Linked DNA regions of Arabidopsis thaliana. The protein of the gene in region 1 interacts with the protein of each later gene in a pairwise test. Each region holds a gene or a part of one and is shown on either strand. Other genes may lie near its edges.

Region 1 (7,754 bases):
CTCACACACCGCGAACCATTGGCTACAATGCTCCTGAAGTTATTGAGACGAGGAGAGTCAGTCAAAGATCAGACGTTTATAGCTTTGGTGTGGTGATTCTCGAAATGCTAACCGGGAAGACACCTTTAACTCAGCCTGGTCTCGAGGATGAGCGTGTCGTCATTGATCTTCCGAGATGGGTTCGGTCTGTTGTGAGAGAAGAGTGGACTGCAGAGGTTTTCGATGTGGAGCTCTTGAAGTTTCAGAACATTGAAGAGGAGATGGTTCAGATGCTTCAGCTAGCGTTGGCCTGTGTTGCAAGGAATCCAGAATCGAGGCCAAAGATGGAAGAGGTCGCGAGGATGATTGAAGATGTGAGGAGATTGGATCAGTCTCAGCAGTTACAGCAAAACAGAACATCCTCAGAGGCTACTTCCAATGTCTCTGAATGATTCCTCATTCCGACCAAAAGTTTCTTTGATCAATTCTACTTCTATCTTATTACTTTTGAATCCCAGTTAAAAATAATTTCTCTTTGCATCGTAGTTTAGTGCTTATGATCAAACGTAACTGCTTTCACTAATGAAAATTGAAAAATCATAACCACTGCTTTAACTACAGAAACAAAAAAATATTCGCTTTCACTTTAATTATAACTTTCCAAAGTAACTAGAGTAAGATATATTCTACACATAAATTTATGACACCAAGACAGAAGAACGAACAGACAGATACACACAACAAAAGTAAAAAAGTGAACAAATAAAACAATGAAAAATAATTTAAATTCTGTGTTTTTTTTAACCCTCAAAACAGGTAAATATTTGCTCGCTTCTCAACAGTTGATTCCACATTCCAGAATGTCCGGGCCAGTGACTCGGCTAGTGAAGGGATCAATCCTAACCCACAACAACGAGAAGATAGAAGCCAAGAGAACAGACCAGACCACAACAATGGTAGGAGTCCGGTTCTGTCGACCCATCAAACCCTTGAGGAAAGGGTACAAGTGAACAATCACCCAGAAGGCAAAGAACAACTTACCAAAGAGTGGTCCCCATGATTGGTATCCACTGTTGATAGCATAAGAGACTCCTGCAACAACTCCCACTAAGTTTACAATGAGCAGCGTCGTTGGCGGAATCAGAAGTGTTGTCCATTTGAACAAGTAGAGCTCAGCAAAGTCTCCGTCTTCATCTGAAGCTTTTGAGGTAACTGTGAAGTTTGTGTCAATACCGGCAAGGACTTTGAGGATACCTTGAAACACAGCGAATAAATGAGCGGATACTCCACCAATGACCCAAAACTGCTCGTTTCTCCACCATTCGTCTATGCCTACGCCACTCCACCTCATTTCTAGTATACCCGTGGCGAAAATGGAGAGAAAGAGAGACAGAAACCATATACTTGCAATGTTACTAATCTGCAAAAGAGGAACAATAGAACCAGCTGATCAGGATTTGGAACCGTAAATAGATGACAAACACAACATGGTTTCAGTTAAACAGAACGTAATTAAGGTTTGTTCTAGAGATAGAGATAGAGATAGAGATAGATAGACAGAGAGAGGTGTCAAACCTGAGGAATAATAAACTGGTTGGTGAAGAGACAAACGGCTGGCAATGTACAATACATGAGAAGAGGAATGGAGGTGATAGGGTAGATGGTGGTGTTCACATACGCAAACCTCTCAAGAAATTTTAGCCTCCCATTGTAACCATACCATATAGGACAATGCCGACTGAAGAGAATCTCAACTGAACCTAAAGCCCACCTCAGCACTTGGTTCAGACGATCTGAAAGATTGATAGGAGCAGAACCCTTGAAAGCTGGAAGCTTAGGCATGCAGTAAATGGATCGCCATCCACGGGCATGCATTTTGAACCCAGTCAGAATATCTTCTGTCACAGAACCATAGATCCATCCAATCTGAAGAAAGACAGCGGAAAATATAAACAAAGTGAATGCCAAAGTGGATATGTCAGAACAATGCAGATTCATGTAGGAGTTCAAATGAGATTATACCTCCATTCCCCAATCTGACTTATCCTCATAACCACAACTAATGACATGGATAGCCTCTTTGAGAAGGTTTTCTGGAGTTGCTGAAGGAGGAACACCACCATTTTCCATTAGGGTAGAAGCAACAAAAACAGCAGACTGTCCAAATCGCTTCTCCAGGCTCATTTGCGACATTAAGAGCGCCTTTTCATCATCAAAACCAGCACCTAAGTTTCACAAATGCCAAATAGTTAAGACATGATGAGATACCTAGTATGGAAACTATTTAGACAACTGTCAACTATAAATAATCCCCTCCCCTGGATCAATATTTCAAACAGCAACATATGGGTATAACGGAAACCAAAGAAGAAATAAAAACAGTTGTACCTTCAACTCCCTCTTCTATGTCATCGAGGTTGAATACAGGAACAGTTGAGTCAGTATGCCTGCCTGATTTCTTTTTGTCCGACTCTTTCTTAGCTTTGGAATTCTTCTTTCTTGATCCACCACAGAGCTTAGATAAAAGACTTGGCTTCTTGTGTTTTACTTTTATTGGAGGTTCATAACCGTATAATGCTGTTCTGTTGAAAACACATCCAGTTCCGACATATACAGGTCCTTGAATCCCATCTAAACCTCTCAAGTTAATCTGGAAAACATATCATGGAAAAATTACGACAAACTCAAGAAACTGTGAGTTTAATGTATATTCGTGTCTAAAAGCAATTTGAAAGAACAAGAAAATTAGACGCAAGTATAGGTAAGTGTGACTTACATCAAAGAACACGGTATTACGATTAGCATATCTATCGTTCTTATCGATACCATCAAATCTTTGTGGGAACTGAACATAACAAACTTGCTTCCCGAGGTTTGGGTCCATCAGGAAGCACATTGCTTCTCTTAAGGCTTTGCTGTTATTTATGTAATGATCACAATCAAGATTCAAGATGAAAGGTCCATTGGTAAGAACTGCTGAAACTCTCACCTATTCATTTGAAAAGTACCCAGATTAGACTAACAAATTGGTCAGAATGAAGAAGTCAAAAATCCAAGATCAGAAACTTACCAGTGCATTCATAGCACCAGCCTTTTTGTGGTGCTGGAATCCTGGTCGCTTTTCTCGAGAAACATATACCAAACGCGGGAGCTCATTGCCCTCTGCATCAAGTCCACCATTTTGCCCTAAGAAGACCTGCATTCAGCAAATGGTACTTCAATAATGAACTTCTAGAGAGAAAGAGAGAGCATTCTCGATTCCATAGTTAAAACCAATTTCTTACCTGGATCATTCCTGGATGGTCCCTTGTATTATTTCCAGGCCACGGTGTGCCATCTTGCATAACCCACCCTTCTTCAGGACATTTTAGGGCTTTGGAAACAAGTGCATTGATTCGGATTTTAAATTCCTCATATTCCCTCTGAAAGAAAATAAAAGGTCAATATAGCATACACTAAAATCAAAGTGAGGGTGACTAGATGACTAAAACTACAAACTTACCTTCATAGCTCTACGATCTTTGACAAATGATGTCTGAACTTTATCCTTCAAGTAATCTATTTTCGCAGCAAAGTACCATTCTGGTGCACGAGGCTCTATGCTATATTTCTTGCAAAATGGTACCCATTTACGAGCAAACTCTGATGTTTCTGCAAGTGATTCAAATGATAACATAGCAGCACCATCATCAGAAACATAACAGGACACCTTGTCAACTGGGTAGTCAACAGCCAGAATAGAGAGCACTGTGTTGGCTGTCACAAGGGGTGGCTCCTTCAAGGGGTCAACAGTACTCACGAAAATGTCAACAGCAGCTAACTGTGATGGCTCACCTTCACGATCATATCTGTCCCAAAAATTGACCATGATCAAATTAAAATGGGAAACAGTATAGGCAAACAATCCTTTGAGTAATTGCTTCAGAAGAATGGGGAAATAGAACTTACCTTAAAGCAAGCCTGTCGAGGTAGGTTTCACGGTTCACAGGAAACCACTTGGGAAACTGATCCAAAATCCAGGATAAGGCAAACCAGATCTCACATATCACAGAGACCAGCCATAGAGCAAAGGCATTTGGCACTGGGTTTGTTATACGGTAATGCAAGAAGAGACAAAGGATAACAAGCCGCAGCATAATAACCATTCTGTAAGGATTGATCCGTGATGAAGGAATTGAAACTTTCCTTGACAGAGGCTGCCTCGCTTCGTCATTCCTGTACAATAAATAAAGAATTGGAAAATGAGTATCAGGACATTGCTTAATAGGAAAAACGCTCGGTACACCACGACAGAACAAACAAGATTACAAAACAAGAACTCACAGCAGAGCCTCATCTGCTAGGATATCTGTGCTGGCATCAATATCTACTCCACCTCTTTCAGAAGCAGCCTGCGTGCTGACAGGACCAGTATTCTTCTCTTGCTTCATTTTCCAGCCATCAACTCTCTCCTTCCAAGCTACATTCCCGAGTCCAACAGGATCCACAATCCTTCTATTTGCTGCAGCGTGAATGACAACAACAGATTTTATTGTTTAGAGTTTTGACATAAAAGAGAAGCCTAGGTACAAATATATGTGTTGGCGAGAGAGTTAGAAATAAAGGATATTTACGTGATTGATTGACATCTGATGAATAGGGAAGGCGCTTTCCCCCAGCGATAGTAGAAGATACAGAGAGGCGTTCAGGTGAGGCAGCAGAAAACTCTCCTGAAGTCTGTAAATAAGCAAATGACAAAATCAGATTCCAAAACTAAATTGCGTGAGGATGCGAATGCTTAAGAGGGAAGAATGAACAGCAATGCCTTACATCTTGTCTGCTCGTGAGACGAGGAAGATGATTGTGAGAGACCTCTTTATCATACTGGGGTTCCCCCATTTCCTCTCCCTTCCCACGAGTAAGATGCCAACCAAGCATCCGCTCTGAAATTTTCTCCTTCTGAGGGTAGTTGAACTCAACAGTACCTTCATCAGCTAAGCCATCCTCGTCTTTATCACCAGGAATAGCAGGACTACCTAGAATCAGAAATTAGCAAATTGCTATAAATACCAATCTGATCCAAAATTCAAAACATACTGATAAACTATCGATGAACAATGAAGACAGTATACTTCAGAAGGATCAAAAGAGAACCTTTGAGCCTCTTGTATCTGGTTTTGCACTGAGGACAAGATTGATTCCCATCTTTCCTCTCATACTCGTAGCAAGGCCGACAAACTGGGAATGAACAAATATCACAAGCCACAAAACGATCTCCATCAACAGTCTTGCCAACATTGTCACTACAGATCTGGCAAGTCTGCGGAACAATGTTCTTCATCGGCTTTCCCTACAAATCAAGTCGAATCAATGAAGCCAAAATTAGAAACCTCAACAGAAAATTTGAAATCAGATCTCTCCAATACACAATTCAACACCCAAATCAATCAATTTCAGTACATATAATTCCTGATTTCGATAAAGGTAAGTATAATGATGAAGCAAGAGTCAAAAAAGCATACCGCGGTTTCTCCTTCGGATTCCATTTGTCACTTAGTTGCTTCCAACACCGAAACGTCGGAATAGTTCAAATCTGATCGGAATTATCAAAAACAGAAACTACGATTAGATCTGAGGAGATCCGAGTAAAGGAAGTCAAATCTGAGAATGGATCATGAGTGTAAGAAGAGTTAAAAGCTTTACCATGAGATCTGAAGATGGAGTGTGGTGATGTGACTCTCTGAATCTCTCTCAATCTGGATCCAAGCTTTCTTCTCTACAGAGAGATAGTTTATAAGGAAGACGAAGAGGAGAATCTTGGGATGGCTAAGAAGATGCAAAGAGCAAGCTATTTGTCTCCTCTACTCGTCACTCTTCCAGATTTTTAAAATATTAATATATTTGTCACAAATCATAATCCAACCAAGCAACAACCACCACCACCACCGACAACTTCCACAGTCGATTTTTTTCTAGTTACAGTTTTACAGTGGCTGTAAAAAAAGTGAAAAAACGGCCGATAAACCTTTAAAATATCCTTAGAAATATATTATCATCGAATTAGTGACTAAATCAAAATAGTAATTGATATTTGATAGTGATATAACTAAAATAGAAGTGTGAAGAACACAACAAATCACAAGTAGTGGGGTAAAGGATATTCATCGTCACTAACTTTCTTACAGATAAAACTTAAAAAGTATTTGCCGACAAAAATAAAACTTCAAAATATTAATTAATCAACGGATTAGTCCAATGAATAAATCAAAATATATTGATAGTGATGCTTTACTTACTAGTATATCAAAATAGGCTAAAACCAGCGGGCTGAAAAAATAAAGGTCCAACTCTAGTATCATCAAGCCCAACAGAATCGAGAAAATGGGTTTGTTGGACTTTGCAGACAAAATTGGTATATGTTCGGTTTACGTTATTTACGAGAGAAAATTGAATCGAACCGAACCCAATAATTAATAGGTCAAACTTTGATAACTGGTGGTGCATGTGGAGATGTGTGGCCACTAGTGCAGCAAAGAACAGACTGTCAGATAGACAAAAGAAGAAAATGGCAAACATTTGAATCCCAAAGAGCGCCACTTTCTCTTCGCTATCCGACAAATCTTCCCTCCTCTTTGTCGTCCCTTTAAACCTTTCCACCTTCTGCTTCGTAACTCTCGTACCCTAGCAATCCTCTACTTAAACCTTCCTTTGTTTCTCCTTCACTTTTCCTGTAAATCTGCTCTTTTGTTCCCTCGATCATATCAATTTTCAAGGTCAGTGAAATCTCATGTTTATTTGGTCCTATGTGAATCAGATTTCAGGGTTTGATATTTGTTTGTTCCGTTGATGTGTTTTGTAGATCTTATGATCTGAGTTACTTGCTCTGTTTTTCTGAGATTTATGGAGGGTCTTTGTCTATGTTTCTTCACCGTTGCAAATGAGTTATAATTTCTGTTTACATGTAGTGAAAAAAGTTCAGTTCTGTGACATAAGAAAGTCTTAAAATTTACGCAACCCTAGTTTTTTTATTTTCTAAGATTTCAATTAAAGAACATTAGCTTGTCTCTTCATGATAGTTTTCCACTGATTATTATCACAACTTTTTTTTTTGTTAGATATTTTTAATCGAAATTATTGTAGAGATAAATATAAATACGTTTTTTTTTTTTTTGGTCAAAAAATATAAATACGTTTAGTTATAGCTAAATCTTAGGAGTATAAAAAAAAAAAAAGTAAATAAAAATCTTACCAGTTTTTATATCTCGTATATCTTCTGTATTTTTAGGGTTTTTCTGTTACATCATTCTATGTTTACGTTTCTTTGATTTTTTTTTGCTTGATCATTTTTAAGTTGATTCGCTTTTTGTTGTTTAAGTGTAATGGATTTTACAACAGTTGAGGTCCCAGATGAGTGGCCACATAATTCGAATTCCTTTGTGGACATCTCAACAGGTATAACCGTATAATTCATTCATGTCTTATTTTGGTTGTGTGCGTTTCCGTTCAAACGTAGAAATCTTATTAGACATATCAATTGTCAAGTTTCAGATCACAATGGATCTTCACCTCCTGTAACTCCAAAGTCTGATACAGTAGCTTCCAACTTTGACCAAGGAAGTTCTGATGTTTCTGGCAATCATGATTCTAACTCTTCTTATTCCGATTTAGATTCGGACACGGAGGCCTTTTACTCATCTTTTAACCATCACCTCGTATCACCAGGGTCAATGGATAGCCATGACTTATCCCCGGAGAAACAAATGAGTTATGAAGAATTGATGAAGAAATATGTCCAG
Region 2 (3,555 bases), on another chromosome or scaffold:
TCACATCTTCAACATTATCTTCAAAAACCTCCTACAAAAATGTATATATAGATTAATTATTTCACTTATATTAAAATATATAAAAGAATTTGTTATGTTAAAGTGCATATACTATATATTTATATCGTTTAATTTTCAATTGAAAAACACAATGCATTTAATATAAAAATTCTAGATGTATAATTTTGATAAAGAGATTATCATAATACTAAATATTAGTATGTTCAACATACAATTAATTATTTTAATATTCTACAATATTATTTAATTTCTTGAATCACGGTTAAGAGATTATCATTAAGGGAAGGAAGTTAATCTACAATCAATAAAAAATAAAAGTAATTATGATCAACTCAATAAAAAAACTATTGTTTTTGTCATCTACCAAATTATAAACCTCAAATTTGTAGACACTTTAAAACTAAACGTCTATTTATTTACGAATTTGACTTTAAATAAACCACATACAATTTGAACAATTCTGCCAATGTTCGAGACGAAAAAAATAAATAAAAAATCTGCCACGTTCTTTTTTTTTCCAGCTTTTGTCTTATGTACTCCAAATTGAAATAAAACGAAAGTTTTCTAGTGAGTGGTGAATGCGATGGACCATGAAGAAAAAGACCTACGGACCAGAACGAATATATCATCTTGAATTCAACTGTTTTAACTAAGACCATATCGAGGACGGACCAAAAATAACTTATGGATTTAGTTTGCATCATGATTCTCTGTTTTAACCAATATCAAGCATTTTTAAGAGATCACACCATGTCACAAAGTAGATAGCTTAAATATGATAGAAACACAAGAGCAAGAACAAGTCTTATGCAATGTTATTTTGATGCTTAAGATAAAGTTACTGCAGATGAGGATTTGATTCATCAGGTTGAAGCCTTGGAAGCAGCAACTTCCAAGAGTTGCTTGACCTTAGTGATATAGTCATTCATGGCTTCTTCCGATGATTTCCCTGACATCATAAACAAAGAAAAGTTCAAATTCAATTCCCCAAGCACAAAAAATTGTTGAACTTGAGACAAGAATCCAAATTACAAACAAATCACTAAGCTAAAAAAGTTGATCACTTGAATTGTTTTTGTACCTTCAACAGCCTTCCAAGCATCCCACTTGGCTCTCTCCTTCATGCTGAACATTCCAGGACGACCTTTGAATCAATCAATAAACAAATACACATTATTAACAACATTACAGAAAAGTGAACTAAGAAGCAAAAATAGAGGATGTTAATATTCAGACAAAAATATTAACTGGTGTCCACAGGCCCAAACTTGGCTTGCTTGTAGAGTCCGTAGAGAATGAGCAAATCCTCGTTGGATGGCAACTCCGTGAGCGTATTCACTTTCTCAGCGTGCTCCTCAAATTCCTCCTGCAGATATATAAATCAGTGAAACAACAAATTCGAAGAAAAGATTCTTAATAGCCTAATACACCATCAAACATATTACTACTTAAAATTCTCAATCGGGATACAATAATCAAACAAAACTCAATAAAACCAAACCTAGCTCAGATTCAAAACTATATTACCCATCAGCAAACAGTGTTTAACAAATCAGTTATAAGAACAGTAAATGGACAAAATCATACAGAGAAAAAGCGTGATCAGTAATAATTCAATTCCATAAAGTGATCATTCTTGACTATACAAGCTTCAATTTCGTAACTATAAGGAACCTATATATCTGCAAATCTGGATCAAACAAGGCTACCAACACAGAAAATATAGAATTCAGGAATGGTGAACACAAACAAAACTAAGATCCGAGTAGTAATAAACCGAAACCGAGATCGGTTTGGTTCATTTTGGATCTGAACGTACCTTCAAACCCATGATGAATAGACGTCGGAAGTTGAGATTGGTAGGAGAATTAAATCAGTGTAAGACGGAGAAGACGAGGACAACGCGTGAGATATATATGGGCGTCATGATAAACCTCTCAGGCCCATAAGCCATAACTATTAAATATTTTCTTTAAAGGAAATAAATATTTTTAGAGATAGATACTGTATACGTGGATTCAGACACCCCGTTGATTGGCTTATTCTGATCAGTATGGGTACAACTGTAAAACAAAGAACATGTTCTGTTTTTTCTTTTTTTTGCTCATCGAACATGTTCCTTCTCCATTGAAATGACAATATTAATTTTCTGTTCCATCAGAAAAACCATAAGCATATCCTTTTGTAAACTTAAATAGTTTAATGAAAAAAAAACTATTTCTGTTTCTGTGCTAGTTGAATATTATCCTTTGGATCATTTTAGATATCCAGACACGTAGATTTCTTCCCACTACAACAAATCAAACCAAAAGGGATCTTTGGTGATTATAAGAAAAAAGGGAGGAAATCTTGGAAGATTACCTAACAAATCAAGGAATATAAATGTTAGATCAAAACCATAAAGACCATTCCTCCACAAGTAAACTAAACTAAATTAAAAAGAGGTTAAGGTTAGGTTATAAAACTGTACAATCAAGGCAAAATCCTCTATAGTCGCTTCACCAGGTAAACAAAAAAAGAAAAAACGGATCAATTTGCTCTTATGTTATCCCCCAAACAGCGACTATATCAAGTGTTATCTATGTCAAAACTCTCGAAATTTACTTGATATTCATTACTGAACATCAAAAACACATAGAGAGCATAGACCTGTTCGAGCAGAAATCTTCTCAATATCGCTTGCATTCCTATAATAAATCTTACCAATAGAGAGATGCTACTGAGGATAGTACGGTGGGCGGTACTGAGGTGGTGGCATCCCATAACCAGTTTGCTGCACATAAAAGACGGGTCGAGAAGCTGGAGCTGGAACCGAGCCAAATAGAGCCCTTGGGTTGCCATATGGGACAGCAACACCAGGAAGTATTGAGCTTAAAAGACCATATGGGTTCACTTGTAAAATCTGACTAGGAGTAGGCAAAAGTGGTGGTTGTTGTTGCGGCCTCAGAGGTGGGATTGTCAAATTATATTCCATACTTGAACCATTAGCAACTCGAGGACGCTTATTATCGACCTTTTGTTCTTGTGGTTGTTGGGGATTAGCAGGTGAATTGAACTTAGTGGCACGCTTCCTCTGAGCTTTCTGATCCTCCAACTCCTTAACACATTCTTCGAGTTTCTCTTCCATGAACTCGGACTCGATGTTTTTCTCTTTCACGACTTTGATAACTGCTCTCAAAGCACTTAGTTCTTTATCAGTAGCTTCGTTCTGCACCTTAAGAGAGTAATTCCCTTCAGCACAAACTCTCTTAGCAGCTTCTCTAGAGTTCTTCAAACTAGTTTTCAAAATCGAAACTGGTTCAAATTCACCCACCATCTCATTCTCGTAAATGAATCTAATAGCAACAAGTAATCTCCCAGTATCCAAAAACTTCTGAACGAGAACTCCTATTCGATTTCTATCTAAACCAATCTTCTTGCAGATCGTTGTTGCTTGTTTATACTTAGAGATCAAGAAAATGTAATCACAAATCTCCTCAGTACTAAATAAAGACCCTAATTCAAAAGCTGCAACCAAATGCAAAAACCCTAACG
Region 3 (4,697 bases), on another chromosome or scaffold:
CACAAAAAAAGAAAGAAAACTTAAGGATCACCAGTTGTGGAACCTGGAAGATACGTCTTCTTGTTTTGATATCTGGAAGAGGGAATTCGATTTTCCTGTCGATCCGGCCTGGTCTAAGAAGTGCCGGGTCAAGACTCTCGATCCTGTTTGTCGCGAGAATAACCTTAACATCTCCTCTTGAATCAAACCCATCAAGCTGGTTCAGTAGTTCCAACATGGTTCTTTGGATTTCACGTTCCCCACCTGAGTTTGCGTCATACCTGTTTCAACCACCATTTTATATCACATATTAGATACCATCTCTTGAGCAAAATCAAGAACATTGTTTATCAATGGATCATGTTTATGTTGTATTTAGGCATACCGCTTGGTGCCAACAGCATCAATCTCGTCTATGAAAACAATAGAAGGAGAAAGGTCATCAGCAACCCTGAAAAGTTCCCTCACAAGCTTGGGACCATCTCCTAAATACTTCTGAATCAGTTCACTACCGACAACACGCAAGAAAGTAGCTGAAGTAGAATTTGCCACTGCCTGAAAGAATAACAAGAAATAACACTTGCTCATCTCCAACAGTTCCGAATTTAACAAGCATAAGAGACACATTAAAAAGAGGCACACTGCAACAATCCATGCTTGCGACATAGACAAAAAGAAAACGAAGACATTAAATCAATCCACGTGACTCTGAAAATCTTCCTCTATCTACACAAGTACTATGATCTAATATCTCAATTCTAGGTGATCAAACCAAAGAAGCCACTGTCCTGACTAATTCATCTTTCTAGTGAAGATTGATAAAAGACAGAAAATTTTGCATGCATGACTTGACATAAAACCAATCATACTTGGGAAGTACCATTATGTGCTGTATTAAGCAATTAACAACTAGAAAGCTTATTATATAATGGATACACTATAGGCTAAAAGACGAACCTTAGCAAGCAATGTCTTCCCAGTGCCTGGCTCACCATACAAGATCACACCTTTTGGTGGCTTAATTCCAATATCTTCATACAGCTCGGGATGTGTTAAAGGTAACTCAACAGCTTCCTTAATCTCCTGAATCTGAGCTTCTAAACCTCCAATGTCAGCATATGACTCCAAAGGAGCCTTCTCCACTTTCATCACAGACACCATTGGATCCACTTCATCTTGAAGAATCCCAACAACAGAGAGTACCTATCACAAAAATAATAAAAAATATCACATAGAAGAATTGGTTCAACGTTTCCATGGAAGAGCATTGTAAAACTCAATACCTTGTTATGCATCAAAATAGAGCAGCCAGGTTCAAGCTGATCCTTATCAACGAAAGACAAAATGCCAACGTAGTACTCAGGACCAACCGAAGAAGAAACAATGGCGTGATTCTCATCAATAAGCTCTTCAAGATTGCCAACACTCATAGGTGTACCACGAAGATCATCAACTTTAGATCTATCTTCCTCAGCTTTCTCTTCCTGAGGTTTCAATCTCTCCTGATTCGCTACGAACTCTTCCTCCATAAGCAAATAGTCCTTGATTCGCTCCAATTTCAGCAATCGAAGCTTACATTTAGTAGAAGGAGTCACCGTCGGCAATCTCGCCGCCGCTTCAGGTCCTTTCTGCTTCCGTTGCTTCCTCCCTACACGAGCAGGTGGTGCGGCTGGTTCGAACTTCTTCTCCTTCTTCTCTCCACCATCTGGTTTCCGATCTCCTTGCCGATTCAATCCGCCGGAAGGTCCTTGACCCATTGTGCTTCGTCTCTCTGAGGTTTCTTGCTCTCGGAGAAACAAATCTTTTAATCTGATAACGGGAGGAGATGATTAAAGTGGGCTTATTATTTTAGGCCTTTTTACGATGTGAAAAACTTAGTGGGCCTTAGGTATCGCAAATTTTTTTAAAACTGATTCAACCTAAGCTATTATCTGGTTTAGTTCAATAACTCGGTTTAATTATCTTTAATTTCGGTTTAAGTTTTGTAAAAGTCAATTCGTTGGTTTGGTAGTTGGTACGGTCAATCGGTACAGGTAAGGAACTTTTCTTTTGCCATTTGGGGAAATCGAATCAAAAATCAATTTCATCGTCTTCTCTATCTGTCATTCATCATCATCACAATCATCATCATCAAATCTCAGGATCTTCGAGGTGGTTCTTCTGTTTCGCAACTAGCTTCTAGATTGTGATTTACAATCTTCGAACTCTCGGTGAGTTTCTAGGTTTAGGGTTTTATCTCTCTTTACACGACAATTGTTATGGCCAATCGAGAAAGAGATCGAGAGCTTCTGATTCCCGTCGCTGATTTCGGCGACAAAGACGATGGTTCTTCTTCGAAGCCTTCTTCTTCTTCCTCTGCTTCTTCTTCGCATCAATCCGGCCACGAGGTCTAGTTTTTGTCACCTGATCTAAAAACGTGTTCTTCGTTTTCTCATTTCAAGATTCATGCGAAACTAACAGTAGAATTGGATGATAGTTATTCATAGATTTGGTCGATTCTGTCTCCCCTTAGTTCAAAATCTTGGAACTTGTTTTGCCCTAGATTCAGTATATCACAAGAACACTTGCTTAGATAAGTTTGGTAGTTGTGATTGAGTAGAGTATGAATTTGCATTCCAAGTTGTTGTGGTTGGAATCATTCAGATTCTTGAGTCTTTGTATTATGCTCATTCATGTTTTCAAGCATGTATAACTTATAGAGCATTGTGGCCTGATGCTTTAGCTCTTTTCTGCAGACTTTAAGCTTGTTCATTAGGGGTTGGGCGTCAAAGAAGTTCATGACAGGCTGGTAAGGAAGAGTTGAAATTTTGGCATTTGATGAAAACTTCCACAGATTAGTTTTAAGTCTCCATTGCTTTTTGCAGTGTTATCCTACTTCCTATTGCAGTTACTTTCTATACAACATGGTGGTTTATTCACTTTGTCGATGGATTCTTCTCTCCAATATATGCACTACTTGGAATCAACATATTTGGTAAGAATTTGAATGGCCCCTCTTTATCCTATTAACAACTTGATATCGGTTTCCCACAATGAGTTTGATTATTGTTTTGTAGGTTTCGGTTTTTTGACTTCCATTGCATTCATCTTCTTGGTTGGGGTGTTCATGTCTTCGTGGTTGGGGGCATCGGTTCTGAACTTGGGAGAGTGGTTTATCAAGCGGATGCCATTTGTTCGTCACATCTACAACGCCTCCAAGCAAATCAGCACTGCCATATCGCCTGGTCTAGCTTGCTTATAAAAATCTTGTTTTGCTTCTCAACATTAAGTTGATCTCCTATCTCATCTTGTTCTTATCCATTTCTCATCACAGATCAAAATACACAAGCTTTCAAGGAAGTTGCAATCATCAGGCATCCCCGTGTAGGTGAATATGCATTTGGCTTCATTACATCAACTGTTGTTCTCCAGGTGAGTGAAAATACTTTGCTCAAGGATTTTGTTATTCTTTCCAGAACGTCTCCTTGAGGATACAAACAATTTCGAGTTATATGGTTTACCATAATTTCGTAATCTTTTTACCCAATGTAATAATGCTATTCGTTCTTGCAGAACTACCCAACCGAGGAGGAACTTTGCTGTGTATACGTTCCCACGAACCACCTTTACATTGGAGATATACTACTTGTCAACAGTAATGACGTTATCAGGCCAAACCTCTCTGTCCGGGAAGGAATTGGTGAGATTTCAGAATCTAATTGTCTATACTAGATACATTTATCGTTTGTTATATAGCATTCAAATTATTTTGTGGAAAGATACTGAACACTGTATACTCATTCTTCATCTGCAGAGATTGTTGTTTCCGGGGGAATGTCAATGCCGCAGATTCTATCGACTCTTGATAAACCTTTGGCCTCGATTGGAAATGAATCTTAAAGTGACTATTCAAAAACCTTTGGCCGATCGATAGGAAAAAATAAAAAATCAGAAGAGACGTTTCACAAAATCTGAGCGAATAGAGAAACCAAAAAACACAGAAAAATTTGTCGAGAAGTGTAATTTGTCAATATTATTTGAATAACCTTGTTTTCTTTTAGCCCTTTTAAAAATAATTTTTTTTCTTTTCTTATAGATTATAATTTGTATCCGCGTCCTTGTGTCTTTCATATTACTGTCGCATTGACTTTATAACAAAAAGATAATCAAAGATAATCCCACCCTAATAATAATCACATGACAAATGGCAATATCGTTTTACATATTAGGGAATAGTATAAAATGTGGTATATATAGAGAGACATTGTTGATCGAAGAAAAAAATGGTCTAACATTTCTCTGTCTAGCTCTTCTTTTGATCTCAGGTACGTTTTGTTTCCAACATGTTACTAATTCTTATGGTGAAATAAAATACTGCAGCTAAAAATGTATCGACCAAAATTTTCTTAGAGGAGGATTGTGCTTAGCACCTGACCTAATTATGAATCTTCATTTCTCTGCCTTTGTAAACTTTAATTTATTTTAGAACTTTATCTCATATAGAAATCTCAAATATATATATATTATAGTTTTTGCTTAACTTTTATATTTAAAATAAATCTGAAAGTTGTAAGAAAATTATTTTCCATATCAGATTTAACATTGGGTGCAGTCTTGGGAAAATATATAATCGTTAGAATAATTTTCTCTTTTAATGTGATAATTCGAAGACGTATGTAACAAACAAAAATGACAATAATAAATATTACAGTATAAATCATTTAAAACATATACTATAA

Evidence for each region. The genes of interacting proteins can lie anywhere in the genome.
Region 2: the proteins of CEV1 (region 1) and ACBP6 interact in a protein complementation assay, tested with the Arabidopsis thaliana proteins (one large-scale study listed by BioGRID).
Region 3: the proteins of CEV1 (region 1) and LCV1 interact in a two-hybrid assay, tested with the Arabidopsis thaliana proteins (one large-scale study listed by BioGRID).

Annotation. Positions count from the first base shown.
Region 1 is NC_003076.8:1,529,587-1,537,340, forward strand, and holds CEV1 (Cellulose synthase family protein), read right to left. Parts: upstream 5,973-7,754; 5' UTR 5,662-5,972; intron 5,552-5,661; 5' UTR 5,505-5,551; coding exon 5,481-5,504; intron 5,309-5,480; coding exon 5,113-5,308; intron 4,995-5,112; coding exon 4,789-4,994; intron 4,696-4,788; coding exon 4,593-4,695; intron 4,481-4,592; coding exon 4,303-4,480; intron 4,195-4,302; coding exon 3,928-4,194; intron 3,828-3,927; coding exon 3,482-3,827; intron 3,402-3,481; coding exon 3,264-3,401; intron 3,176-3,263; coding exon 3,050-3,175; intron 2,969-3,049; coding exon 2,756-2,968; intron 2,630-2,755; coding exon 2,368-2,629; intron 2,205-2,367; coding exon 2,002-2,204; intron 1,906-2,001; coding exon 1,555-1,905; intron 1,400-1,554; coding exon 815-1,399; 3' UTR 546-814; downstream 1-545. Other genes in the region: RUL1 (Leucine-rich repeat protein kinase family protein), read left to right, coding at 1-431; AT5G05180 (myosin heavy chain, striated protein), read left to right, coding at 7,338-7,410, 7,507-7,754. UniProt on the Arabidopsis thaliana protein: Catalytic subunit of cellulose synthase terminal complexes ('rosettes'), required for beta-1,4-glucan microfibril crystallization, a major mechanism of the cell wall formation. Involved in the primary cell wall formation, especially in roots.
Region 2 is NC_003070.9:11,410,248-11,413,802, forward strand, and holds ACBP6 (acyl-CoA-binding protein 6), read right to left. Parts: upstream 1,987-3,555; 5' UTR 1,853-1,986; coding exon 1,841-1,852; intron 1,388-1,840; coding exon 1,270-1,387; intron 1,166-1,269; coding exon 1,103-1,165; intron 971-1,102; coding exon 885-970; 3' UTR 519-884; downstream 1-518. Other genes in the region: FRL2 (FRIGIDA like 2), read right to left, coding at 2,738-3,555. UniProt on the Arabidopsis thaliana protein: Binds medium- and long-chain acyl-CoA esters with very high affinity. May function as an intracellular carrier of acyl-CoA esters. Confers resistance to cold and freezing.
Region 3 is NC_003071.7:8,689,775-8,694,471, reverse strand, and holds LCV1 (uncharacterized protein), read left to right. Parts: upstream 1-1,981; 5' UTR 1,982-2,237; coding exon 2,238-2,366; intron 2,367-2,714; coding exon 2,715-2,767; intron 2,768-2,843; coding exon 2,844-2,953; intron 2,954-3,035; coding exon 3,036-3,203; intron 3,204-3,292; coding exon 3,293-3,390; intron 3,391-3,531; coding exon 3,532-3,658; intron 3,659-3,772; coding exon 3,773-3,858; 3' UTR 3,859-4,179; downstream 4,180-4,697. Other genes in the region: RPT2b (AAA-type ATPase family protein), read right to left, coding at 44-260, 365-534, 937-1,182, 1,263-1,736.